Linked DNA regions of Arabidopsis thaliana. The protein of the gene in region 2 purifies or fractionates together with the protein of the main gene of each other region. This does not show direct contact. Each region holds a gene or a part of one and is shown on either strand. Other genes may lie near its edges. The genes, in order: AT4G18590, RPA2 and ARF1.

What was found.
Region 1: the proteins of RPA2 (region 2) and AT4G18590 purify together in Arabidopsis thaliana (affinity purification with mass spectrometry, with the first as the bait; one large-scale study listed by BioGRID). This does not show direct contact.
Region 3: the proteins of RPA2 (region 2) and ARF1 purify together in Arabidopsis thaliana (affinity purification with mass spectrometry, with the first as the bait; one large-scale study listed by BioGRID). This does not show direct contact.

Annotation. Positions count from the first base shown.
Region 1 is NC_003075.7:10,234,426-10,237,818, forward strand, and holds AT4G18590 (Nucleic acid-binding, OB-fold-like protein), read left to right. Parts: upstream 1-1,735; 5' UTR 1,736-1,883; intron 1,884-2,095; 5' UTR 2,096-2,098; coding exon 2,099-2,354; intron 2,355-2,450; coding exon 2,451-2,515; 3' UTR 2,516-2,843; downstream 2,844-3,393. Other genes in the region: AT4G18570 (Tetratricopeptide repeat (TPR)-like superfamily protein), read left to right, coding at 1-109; AT4G18580 (uncharacterized protein), read right to left, coding at 428-514, 613-701, 819-923, 1,033-1,099. UniProt on the Arabidopsis thaliana protein: As part of the replication protein A (RPA/RP-A), a single-stranded DNA-binding heterotrimeric complex, may play an essential role in DNA replication, recombination and repair.
Region 2 is NC_003071.7:10,398,838-10,402,591, reverse strand, and holds the start of RPA2 (replicon protein A2), read left to right. Parts: upstream 1-2,093; 5' UTR 2,094-2,175; coding exon 2,176-2,280; intron 2,281-2,423; coding exon 2,424-2,534; intron 2,535-2,629; coding exon 2,630-2,730; intron 2,731-2,835; coding exon 2,836-2,877; intron 2,878-2,965; coding exon 2,966-3,043; intron 3,044-3,165; coding exon 3,166-3,244; intron 3,245-3,333; coding exon 3,334-3,420; intron 3,421-3,518; coding exon 3,519-3,604; intron 3,605-3,682; coding exon 3,683-3,751; intron 3,752-3,754. Other genes in the region: FZF (Zinc finger protein 622), read left to right, coding at 4-549, 627-796, 884-1,093, 1,177-1,333. UniProt on the Arabidopsis thaliana protein: Component of the replication protein A complex (RPA) required for DNA recombination, repair and replication. The activity of RPA is mediated by single-stranded DNA binding and protein interactions. Required fo cell division in meristems.
Region 3 is NC_003070.9:21,977,440-21,981,193, forward strand, and holds the start of ARF1 (auxin response factor 1), read left to right. Parts: upstream 1-1,899; 5' UTR 1,900-1,984; exon of another isoform or gene 1,985-2,180; intron 2,181-2,944; 5' UTR 2,945-2,974; coding exon 2,975-3,011; intron 3,012-3,216; coding exon 3,217-3,332; intron 3,333-3,587; coding exon 3,588-3,683; intron 3,684-3,754. UniProt on the Arabidopsis thaliana protein: Auxin response factors (ARFs) are transcriptional factors that bind specifically to the DNA sequence 5'-TGTCTC-3' found in the auxin-responsive promoter elements (AuxREs). Seems to act as transcriptional repressor.

The DNA.
Region 1 (3,393 bases), on a different chromosome or scaffold from region 2:
AACAATGAAGGCATTTGAAGAGCTAAGAGATAAAGCAAGATCATGTCATGTTCAGTGTCAAAGCCAAACACATCAACATAAACTTTGTTTTCGATCTACCCCTTGTTAAAGAAGCAATCTTAGCTTCATATATAATCCACCTCTTGTTGTCATTTTCTCGATTTAATTTGTTTTTTTGTTCTTTCGTCTTAAAAGACCTATAACTCTTGTGAATATACGTTCTCGATCGTCTTGCTGAAAAAGGATTAAAACAGTTGATATTCAAAGGAAACCCATCTTATCATATGTACTGATAAAAGCTTCACAATAATGTCGCGGCTAAGAATGAAATATTCAAATATTTCAAAGAGACAGCAGAAATAAAACTAAATCCATTGCCCTAAAACCCCAAACTTCAAACCCTGCAAATTTTGATTGCACCTCCTAGTTACACAACAAACCACTCATCACTGCTGTATCCAGCATCTTTGGCTTTAGACTCATCATCACCGACTGCATCTTTTGAGAGTTCCATCTGAAAACCAAAGAGACGTATTTGTTAGGAAAATCAAAACAGAAGAAAGGATATAGTTTCAAGACATGCTAAAAGTTATGCGAAACTAGAATACACACCATTTGAATAGCTCCTGGTTTCTCTGTTTTAACATTGGGCATAATAGCTTCAGCTTTGTCTACGACTACATATTCGTCATCTGAATGACCTGATGATGCATACGTCAGAAGTTAACAAAGACATTACAGATCGATTAAAAAACGAATGGACAAAGAACGGATTTAGTTACTTGCACTAGTCTCATTCACAAAGCAAAAACAATTACCTTTATCACCTTCACCACTCTCATCATCAGAATCGTTGTAGAAATCAAACGTATCAACAGGGGGAATTTTCCTACGAGGTCGGATCAGATATGGTAAAGGAACTCCTGAAAACGACACAAAATTTCCTGATTAAAAACTCAAAACTCGAAACAGAAGGAACCTAAAGGATAATATCAAATGGTAAAAAACAAAAAAGGTGAAAAGTGAGCTCACCGTTGCAGCCTCCCCTCTTCCGAGAATGCAGAACAGAAACAGCATGAACTGGTGCCAATGTTGCCATGTCCTGATTCAAAAATGGTACCTGTTAGCAATTGCAACAACTTTTATGAGAAACAGAGAGATCAGCACAAATCTAAGAAAACCCTAAAAACGATATAAGCTAACCAGACAAAGAAGAGATAACGAAGAAGAAACCTAAAGAGATTAAGAAATTTCCACACAATAAGTTAACATCTTTGTATACCAAATCGGCGAAAACCATCTTAAAACAAGAAATTCAGATCGTTCGAAACAGAAATTTACTCCGCAAGAAATATAACGCAAACCCTAATTTTCCGTGTGATCATATAAACAGAATCAAAACCAAAAGTTCCATAGAAAAATAGCAGAAAAGGAGAATTATTTCAAAGAAGAGATGAATTCTCAAATAAACATAGGATTACCTTATCGAAGATTCAGAGAAAATCGTTTATCAGATCTTGAGAAATTTGATCGTCGACGAATTATCAAAACTCAGTAAGAGAAGAACAAGACATCAGCGGTGGCGAAAACTAGAGATTAGCGATGAACAGTAATCTTATTAGCGATATAAATAGGGATTATTTACTTTTTATTTTGTTTCCCTTTTCTAAACCTTTTCCAATTAATTTATGTTGGCTGACGTGTCTCTGATTAAACCAATCTCGAGCGGTTCAGCTTCCAACAAACCGGTTCGGTTTAACACTATTAATTTCTCGACCTCGCTCCTATCTTCTCCTCTCATTCGTCAATCCAGAGACTAGGGTTTTCTTCCCGCCGAAACCTCACCGGAAATTCTCTCCGGCATCTCCTAATTCGTCAATCGGGTACTGTTAAATCACAAGGCTTTAGTAATTTCTTCTTATACATAGGTCTAAATCTATCTGCTTGATTTGAAATTTGGATTTTGGTCTAATTAGGGACTGACACTACCAATTTACTTAATGATTTGAGGATAATTACTTCGATTTTGACTTAGATGATATGAATTTGATTTAGTTTCAGTGAGAAAGACGAATGAATGTTTTGATTTTTATAGAGAATGGATACATCAAGTCCTGCTGCTTTTGTGAATGGAGCTTTGTTGAGAAGGTACATTGGTCAGAAAGTGAGAGCAGTGATTCAAGTTATCAGATCAGATGTTGGATCAGTGATTGGTAAATCGACTGATGATCAACAGATTGTTGTTAAAGGTTCTCCTCAACCGCCTTTAACTACTTACCTTGAGGTAATTGGAATTGCTGAGACTGACAACACTATTCGTGCTGAAGTTTGGACCAACTTTGGTGATAGTTTCGGTATGAATTTAAGCAAAAATCATTCCTTTAATAAGCTATGTCCTTTATGATTTGCAAATTCTTGTGTCTTGATTTGGGGTCTTGGCTTGTTTGCAGATGTGCAAAACTACAATGAGCTATGTAAGCTTGCAAATGGTGAGTTTAGACACTTGTTCATCTAAATCACAGGGTATTGGTGATGAATGTGGAAAGCTTTTTTCTTGGAGATTCTTTGGGTTGGAGCTATTGATATGCCTGGTTGATCTTTAGTATTGAAATTCTTCTGTTTCATGTTAGTTTCACGGTTTCTAGTATTTATCTTATGGTCTTTGAAATCTGTATGAAAACTCTTCTGTGTCATATTAGAATTAAGGTAAACTGTGTTAGTCGATCTTACTATGAATCTTATGTTTCTTGTTTTGTGTTTTGGTTCTCTTTGCTTTTCTTTTGATTCCATCACATTGGATCCTAGCTTGTAAATGGTATAAAACTATATAAAATCCCTAAAAACTATATCTACATTAAAACTTACAATTAGGAAAGAAAAAAAAATCTAAACTAAAGCATAAACAACACACAAAATTGTTGGTCAAAAAATTATACACACAACTTTGACGAAAATGTTCAAGGAATTTTGCAGATTAGTAATGTTTTCTAGAATTTTAGATTGTTTTTGGTTCACACAATGACACAGTTTTGAAGAAAAGACCTTAGCCCACGGCCCAGTCCAAAATTTTTAAACGACAGCGTTAAGAACTGGTCCGGTTAAACCGGGATTTAGCCATTATGGAAGAATCATAAGACAAAACCTAAACTTAAACCGAACAGATTTGTCACGAAGAAGAAATCAGTGTAGCAGACACCATCCATCCCTGAGCAAAGGTGATTCCTTTTTTCCCTTGTTTTCTGATATCTTAAAGAATTATTCTGAGGTTTTTGATTACTTGAAATATTGTGTGTGTTTCGTGGAGGTTTATAGATTTCTCGTTTAGGGTTTTTGTGGTTTAATCTGCTTCTTCGCCACTGATTCTGATACATTTTTTCACTTTTTGGGTAAATC
Region 2 (3,754 bases):
TAGATAGCTGGTGTTCCTGGAGTAACAGAGGCACTATTTGAAGCTAGACAAGCTGCTATAGCTCAAGAGAAGGTTAAAGCTGTTGAAGCACCGATGCTTTATAGTTGTGGAATCTGTAACAAAGGTTACAGGAGTTCCAAGGCTCATGAGCAGCATCTTAAGTCGAAGAGTCATGTTTTGAAGGCTTCGACGAGTACTGGAGAGGAGGATAAAGCGATCATCAAGCAGCTTCCGCCTCGTCGTGTTGAGAAGAATAACACTGCTCAATTGAAGGGTTCGATTGAGGAGGAAGAGAGTGAAGATGAATGGATTGAGGTTGATTCGGATGAGGATTTGGATGCGGAAATGAATGAGGATGGTGAAGAAGAAGATATGGATGAAGATGGTATTGAATTTGAGTTGGATCCGGCTTGTTGTTTGATGTGTGATAAGAAGCATAAGACTATAGAGAAATGTATGGTTCATATGCATAAGTTTCATGGGTTCTTCATTCCTGATATTGAGTACTTGAAGGATCCTAAAGGGTTTCTGACCTACCTCGGTCTAAAGGTTTGTGCTTTGTGCTTAGTCTGTCTTAGATCTTTGTTTTTCTTTGCTACTTAGTACTTACATGGTTGTTGTTTCAGGTCAAGAGAGACTTCGTGTGTCTGTACTGCAATGAATTGTGCCATCCATTTAGTAGTTTGGAAGCTGTTCGTAAGCATATGGACGCCAAAGGTCATTGCAAAGTGCATTATGGTGATGGTGGTGATGAAGAAGATGCAGAACTTGAAGAGTTCTATGACTACAGCAGCAGGTTCCATTTCTTCTGCTTTCTCCTCTGTTGTTGGTGTCTAAATGTGCTTGAACTAATTGTGTCTTCTTTTGATGTGTGTTTGTACAGCTATGTCAATGGAGACGAAAATCAGATGGTTGTGTCCGGTGAGTCAGTGAACACTGTAGAGCTTTTTGGTGGGTCTGAGCTTGTGATCACCAAGAGAACCGATAACAAAGTAACGTCTAGGACTCTTGGGTCTCGAGAATTCATGCGCTACTACAAACAGAAGCCAGCACCGTCTTCTCAGAAGCATATTGTCAACTCTCTAACCTCCAGGTTTGTCTTTAACCGATCAGAGATCATTTATCACTGTCTCTGTGTAGAATTTGAATCTGACGTGAATGGGTCTTAAAACACAGGTACAAGATGATGGGTCTAGCAACAGTGCAGTCAAAGGAGGCCATAGTGAGGATGAAGGTGATGAGAGAGATGAACAAAAGAGGAGCGAAAAGCAGTGTCAGGCTCGGAATGAAGAGCAACGTCATCAGGAATCTGCCCAACAATGTCACCTATTAGTCTTGCTCCTCGATTTTCAGGTCTCTCCTCTTTGTTTGATTTTGTGACCAGAGTTTTGGTGAGTAAATCTATCTAAGTTTTTCACTAGTACTCAAGTATCTTAGGCCCATTTGGGTCTCTGTTTTGTCTGATTTAGTCTTTTGAAAATGTTACGTTTTGGCTGAGTTTGTATCTCTTGCCCAGTGCTTTGTACACTCTACATTAATCTATATTTCATTTGGTAGAAGATCAAGAGCTAATCAATCTTTATCTGCTAAATCATAAATCTAGTACACTTTTCACTTATCTATACATTTGTTTTAGATAACGAATGCTCTCGACTTCACTTTCTCTAGCTATCTTGATAAATTGTATAAAGGTAAATGCACAGGTCGATTTACGAGTTCCTCACAAACCGCGAGTAAATCTCGACACGAATATCTTGCATCATCCACTATATCTCTTTATTATTTATCACTCTATTGCTCTCTCTTACAGGCACTACTGTTTCAAAAGAGAGAGGAACAAGTTTAAAGCCTAACTCTTTCCAAAGTCCAACAGCCCAACTTCACAGGAGCCCATCGAAATCATAAGTCTTCTAAACCGGAAAGCTTTTGAGTCGAATAAACTGAACTGAGAGTAAACCGGAGAACTGAATTTATTAAAAAGTAATTATATTATAGATTTACCTCGCCCTAATTGGCGGGAAGCTCTAATCAAAATTGGAGGGAAAATCCCCCAAAAATTCTTTCGTCGCTATTAAAATTCCCCCAAAATCTTCTCTTCCCTTTACTTTGATCACTTTTCAACTTCCTAAATCTCTTCACAGTTACTTTCGATTTTCCGATTTCGTAGCTTCGAAAATGTTCTCCAGCAGCCAATTCGAGCCTAATTCCGGCTTCTCCGGCGGCGGATTCATGTCTTCTCAACCTTCTCAAGCCTACGAATCCTCCTCCTCCACCGCTAAGGTAATATAATCCATCTTCCATTTCGTTCAATTCCACCGATTAGGCTACAGATCGAAAGTTTCCGAATCGCTAAACGTTTCTCTGTAACAATCGATTTTGGAATTGCTAAATCTGCTCTGTATATGTTTTGTGGGAATATGCAGAATCGTGATTTTCAAGGTCTTGTTCCAGTGACGGTGAAGCAAATCACCGAATGTTTCCAATCCAGTGGTGAAAAATCTGGTCTCGTCATCAATGGAATCTCACTAACAAACGTAAATACCATTTCTAGATCTCTTTGTTTATTACCGTTATTCGTCAATATGGTCAAACTTTTACTCAATTGTGTGATGTTTTTGGTATAATTCAGGTTTCACTTGTTGGATTAGTGTGTGACAAAGATGAATCTAAAGTCACAGAAGTTAGATTCACTCTTGATGATGGAACAGGACGAATTGACTGTAAAAGATGGTAAATACTCGGAAACTTTACCTTTTGATAGATGCAAGAGTTGTTTTTCGGTGCAGTGGTTAGTTTATGAAGTTTGTAATTGGTGTTGTTGTGCCTTTCTTATAGGGTGAGTGAAACTTTCGACGCTAGAGAAATGGAGTCTGTGCGGTTAGTATCTTTGGTTTTTGTTTGATTTATGTGGTGAGATCACATTTTTGGTTTTGGATGTGTTTTCTAATTGTTAGCTGTGAAACAGAGATGGAACTTATGTGCGCCTCAGTGGTCATTTGAAGACTTTTCAGGGCAAAACTCAGCTTCTTGTTTTCTCTGTGAGGTATGTTTTGTATTTTTGGTTGTGAAATGCTTTTGATTCCGTTACCATTGGCAATAGACGTTGGTATGTTCTGTATAAGCTTTGTTAGATATTTATATGAAATCGTCTGTTTTGTGTTGCAGGCCTATTATGGACTTCAATGAGGTTACTTTTCACTACATTGAGTGTATACACTTCTACTCCCAGAACTCTGAATCACAGGTAAAGAAAATGCAATATAGCAAAAGATAAATTGTGTTGTTCACAATTTGCAATCGAACCTCCCTCTCTGACTTGTGCTTTCTCAATAGAGACAACAAGTCGGTGATGTCACTCAGTCAGTTAACACCACATTTCAAGGTGGATCAAACACAAACCAGGCAACACTATTGAACCCTGTATGATGAATTCACCAAGTTTTTTTTTTTTTGGTTTTCTTCATGACATTTGTTTCTGTACTTAGAAATAGAATCTCATTATTGTTGCTCGTTTTTAGGTGGTTTCTTCTCAAAACAATGATGGCAATGGGCGCAAGAACTTGGATGATATGATTCTAGACTATCTAAAGCAACCTGCTTGCACGTGAGTTTGAATTTTCTCATTGCTGCCCCCATTGCTCCACTTAAAAAACTGGTCTAATAATAGTTCTGTTCACTGCAGTGCAAGACAACAGGGGATACATATCGATGAAATTGCTCAGCAGTTGAAGATCCCAAAAAACAAGCTAGAGTA
Region 3 (3,754 bases), on a different chromosome or scaffold from region 2:
TCAATGCAAAGATGAACCTCAAAATTACTTTTATCAATGACACATTTTTAAAGAGAAAATATATAAAGATATGAAAGTAGTCACTAGGGACTATGTAATCAATTGTGCTATTTACTGTTTAAACACACTAAAATATATAGTTTTAATGTAATTAAGTAATCCTACAACTTTCATGTGAAAATTCCTAGTCAAATATTTCACGTAGTGAGTTATTTAAAGTAAAACAGAATAATAGGTATGCTTATACGGGTCGAGTTGCTTTATTATGAATATGATTATATGAATCAAAGGATATGAATTTATATTTATCAAGTTACCACGTTACGACCAAATTTGGGTTATGGGTTTCAAATCTTGAACGGTTCATGGTATTCCGCCGCTTTTGTCCTATCAAGTATGGACACATTTTTCAAAAGTACGCTGGTGCCGAAGTAGTTTGTTGTGGCCTTGGTTAACTGTACCATTAATGCGTGTTTATAAACTACATGCTAACTCTAATAACTTCTCATACATTCACATCAAAGGACGATGAGCCTCATATACATACATAGTGATCAGAGCCATCCTCTAAGCAAAAAGACTATCCTTTTTAAAAAAGAGAATCATATTAAGGGCAAAAATTAACTTTCAAAAATAATTGGCCAAGAAGCGATGACTAATGTTTTTGCCAAAAATAAAACAAAATCTCAAATCTCAAAGCCTGTTTCATATCTCTTTTAAGAAGAGAGAAAGAAACTTAGGATTCCAGAACTAAACGTCGAAAGTTCTTAGATATCTTATTTCAAAGGGTTCTCCTCTGTCAGAAATTCTAGAATAACAGATTATTTCATCTTAGGTGGACTGTCATTTCTTCTAACTAGGCTAGTAGCAAATCATTATGCCCAATTTAAAGCTAACTCGCTCTCCATCTCCATTCGATTAGATTAGTAGTTAACTTTAAACCACCAAAAAATTTTATACATTTATTTGTTAGAGAATATTTGGAAGAATTGGGTGGTCTCGCTTTGTGCCGCTTTCTTAGCTCAAGGATTTTTGGATTCTATCTACATGAACTTCGTTATCAATTTTGATGCTTGATATTTTTGCCTAGAGTGTTTCAGTTTTTTTGTTTTTCTTTTCTTTTTCTAGCAGAATTGTCACATGTTATATTCATATTTTGAGTATTTTCTAAGAAACAATTAGGATGCTACATAGACATATTTTTGAAAAGAATTAAGAAAAAGTAATAGGTTTTGGAATTTTGCAAAACAAGCGAGAAGATGCTACACTTGATTGTTTTCAACAAAAATACCCTCAGAAATAATGGATGAGATTCACATGATAGCACTAAATCGCTACAAAATCTCTTCACTAGTGTCTCCTCCATAGTCAAATCCGAGCTCCAGATAAAAACATTACAGATTCATATGACAATATTAATTTTGTCACTCATATGAATTTGGTTAAATATATAATCTAATTTGAAAATACAAAAATCATGATTCATGATGCACCTTTCAATTCACATAATGTTGAAATACAGAAAAAATAATTACTCTCTCATTTCTTTATAATATAAGTTTTAGAAAGAAACCAAAAATTGTCTCATAAAGATAAATGTAGATTTTTTTTTAATTTTATCTCCTATTAACTAGGGTTGAATTAATAAAACAACTAATGAATATTTATTAAACACGAATATATTTGTAGTAGTAAAAAAATTCTTAATATGTATGCAAAGTCTAAAAACATACAAGTTCACTAATCTCTACTAAATTAACAGCTAAACCCAATAAATCCGTTAATTATGGCTAGTTTAGTGAATTTTTCTCAAAGAAAAGCTCTTTTTTCAAAGTTAAGGAGACTAGAGAGCAAGTCATTTGCTTGTGGTTGGAAACAAAAACCCAAAGCGACGACACAATTAAAAAAAAATATAAAGAGGAGAGGAGAAAAAGAGGCAAGCCATAGCCAAAGGGTTCGTGTCGGCTTCAACCAAACACTGACGGTGTGTGTATACACCTTTACATACACACCTTTATCTCTCTCTCTCTCACATCTTTGTTACAAATCAATCTTCTACTGTTTTCTTTTTCCTCTTCTTACATTATTTTTTGACAGCAATTCTTAGTTTCTCTTCTATCCCCTTTCTGGGTTTTGTTTGAACCCTAGCTCGCTTTGGATCCAGTGGTTTTAAGTTAAAGGTTCGATTTTTATTTCTGGGTTTTGCTTGTTTTGCTTGGTTCTGCTTAGTAAATGTTGGAAAAGGAGGAGACTTTAGAGGATCTGTAGTCAGATTTGAGCTGGGTTTGTCGATTTTACTAGGATTTTGATTTTGGGGATAATCTAGATCAGGAATCGTTACTTTGTTTCATATCCAAAATTCAACTCTTTTTCTCGTTCCTGATCTAAAAATCGTTCCTTTTCAAGCTTTCTAAATGAGGTTTCTCTTTGGTGGTTCTGAAATTTTGTCTGTAGCTGTTGTGTTCTTCTCTTAGATTTGATTCTGTATGATAATTTTAGGTTCTGAGTTTGAAGTCTTGTCATTGTAGAGATGGTTTTAGTAACAGTTTTGGTGTTGCTTTGTGTGAAGTTATTAAGGACTAAAATCTGTTCATTTTTGGTATGTTATTGAGCAGGTTCTTGTCTTGCTTTTGCTTTATTTGTTCTTTCTTTTTACCTCTTTGTTTGAGTGATTATTGGATTTTCTCTTCAAATTGGGTAATAAAATTTTGAGAATCTGAGTCTTGTGATGTGCTTTAGACACAATGTAGAACAAAGCAGTTACATAAATGGCCCACATTTTTGTCAGTAAATTTATGAATGGGGTTTTAAATGTTTCTACATAATAACATCTATCAGAGTTTTGTTTGTCTAAATTAGAGGAGGATAGGTCCATCTTCTTCTTTTCTCTTTCAGAATAACATTTCAATCTTATAGTTTTCTCTTCTTTTGTTTTGTTGCCCAGGTAAATTTATCGAAAGTAAGTAGATTCCTAATGGCAGCTTCCAATCATTCATCTGGTAAACCTGGAGGTTCGTGGAATATTTCTTGTTTTTATACCATTCTTTGCTATTTTCTACTGGGAATCCACTTTCTAAGCTTGTTTGGGGATTCTGCATAACTTGAAATGGATGATTAAGAACTGGATAAGGGTTTTAAAGCCTTGGAGATTGCAACCATTGCTTTGTTTTTGAGATATATTGTTGCGTCACATAACCCATATCTGTTTCTTTGTAGGAGTTTTAAGTGATGCTTTATGTAGGGAGCTCTGGCATGCCTGTGCTGGACCTCTTGTAACCCTACCTCGTGAAGGGGAACGAGTTTATTATTTCCCTGAAGGCCACATGGAGCAGGTTGGTTATTGGGTTGAATCATTTAACATTATCATTTGCTAAAGCCGGTTATGTTAATTGGACTGTTATTACTGTGTCAACTGTCGCTTCAAAATACCTTGTTGGTGCTTTCTAGTTTAAAAGTAAAATCACAAAACATGTATTGTTGTATAGAACGGATAAATGCACTACCTGTTTTGATTTCACATGATTATTGTTTCTTTCATCTTATCTGATTATCACATTTATGCATTTAATTGGTCACTTCCTGTGCAGCTCGAGGCATCAATGCACCAAGGTTTGGAGCAACAGATGCCTTCCTTCAACCTCCCATCTAAGATCCTCTGTAAAGTTATCAACATCCAGCGCAGGGTAGGCTAAATTCCATGATATATGATAAAAGTTTCTTACCTTTTCTTCATGAAATGGGTTGGCTAAAGAAT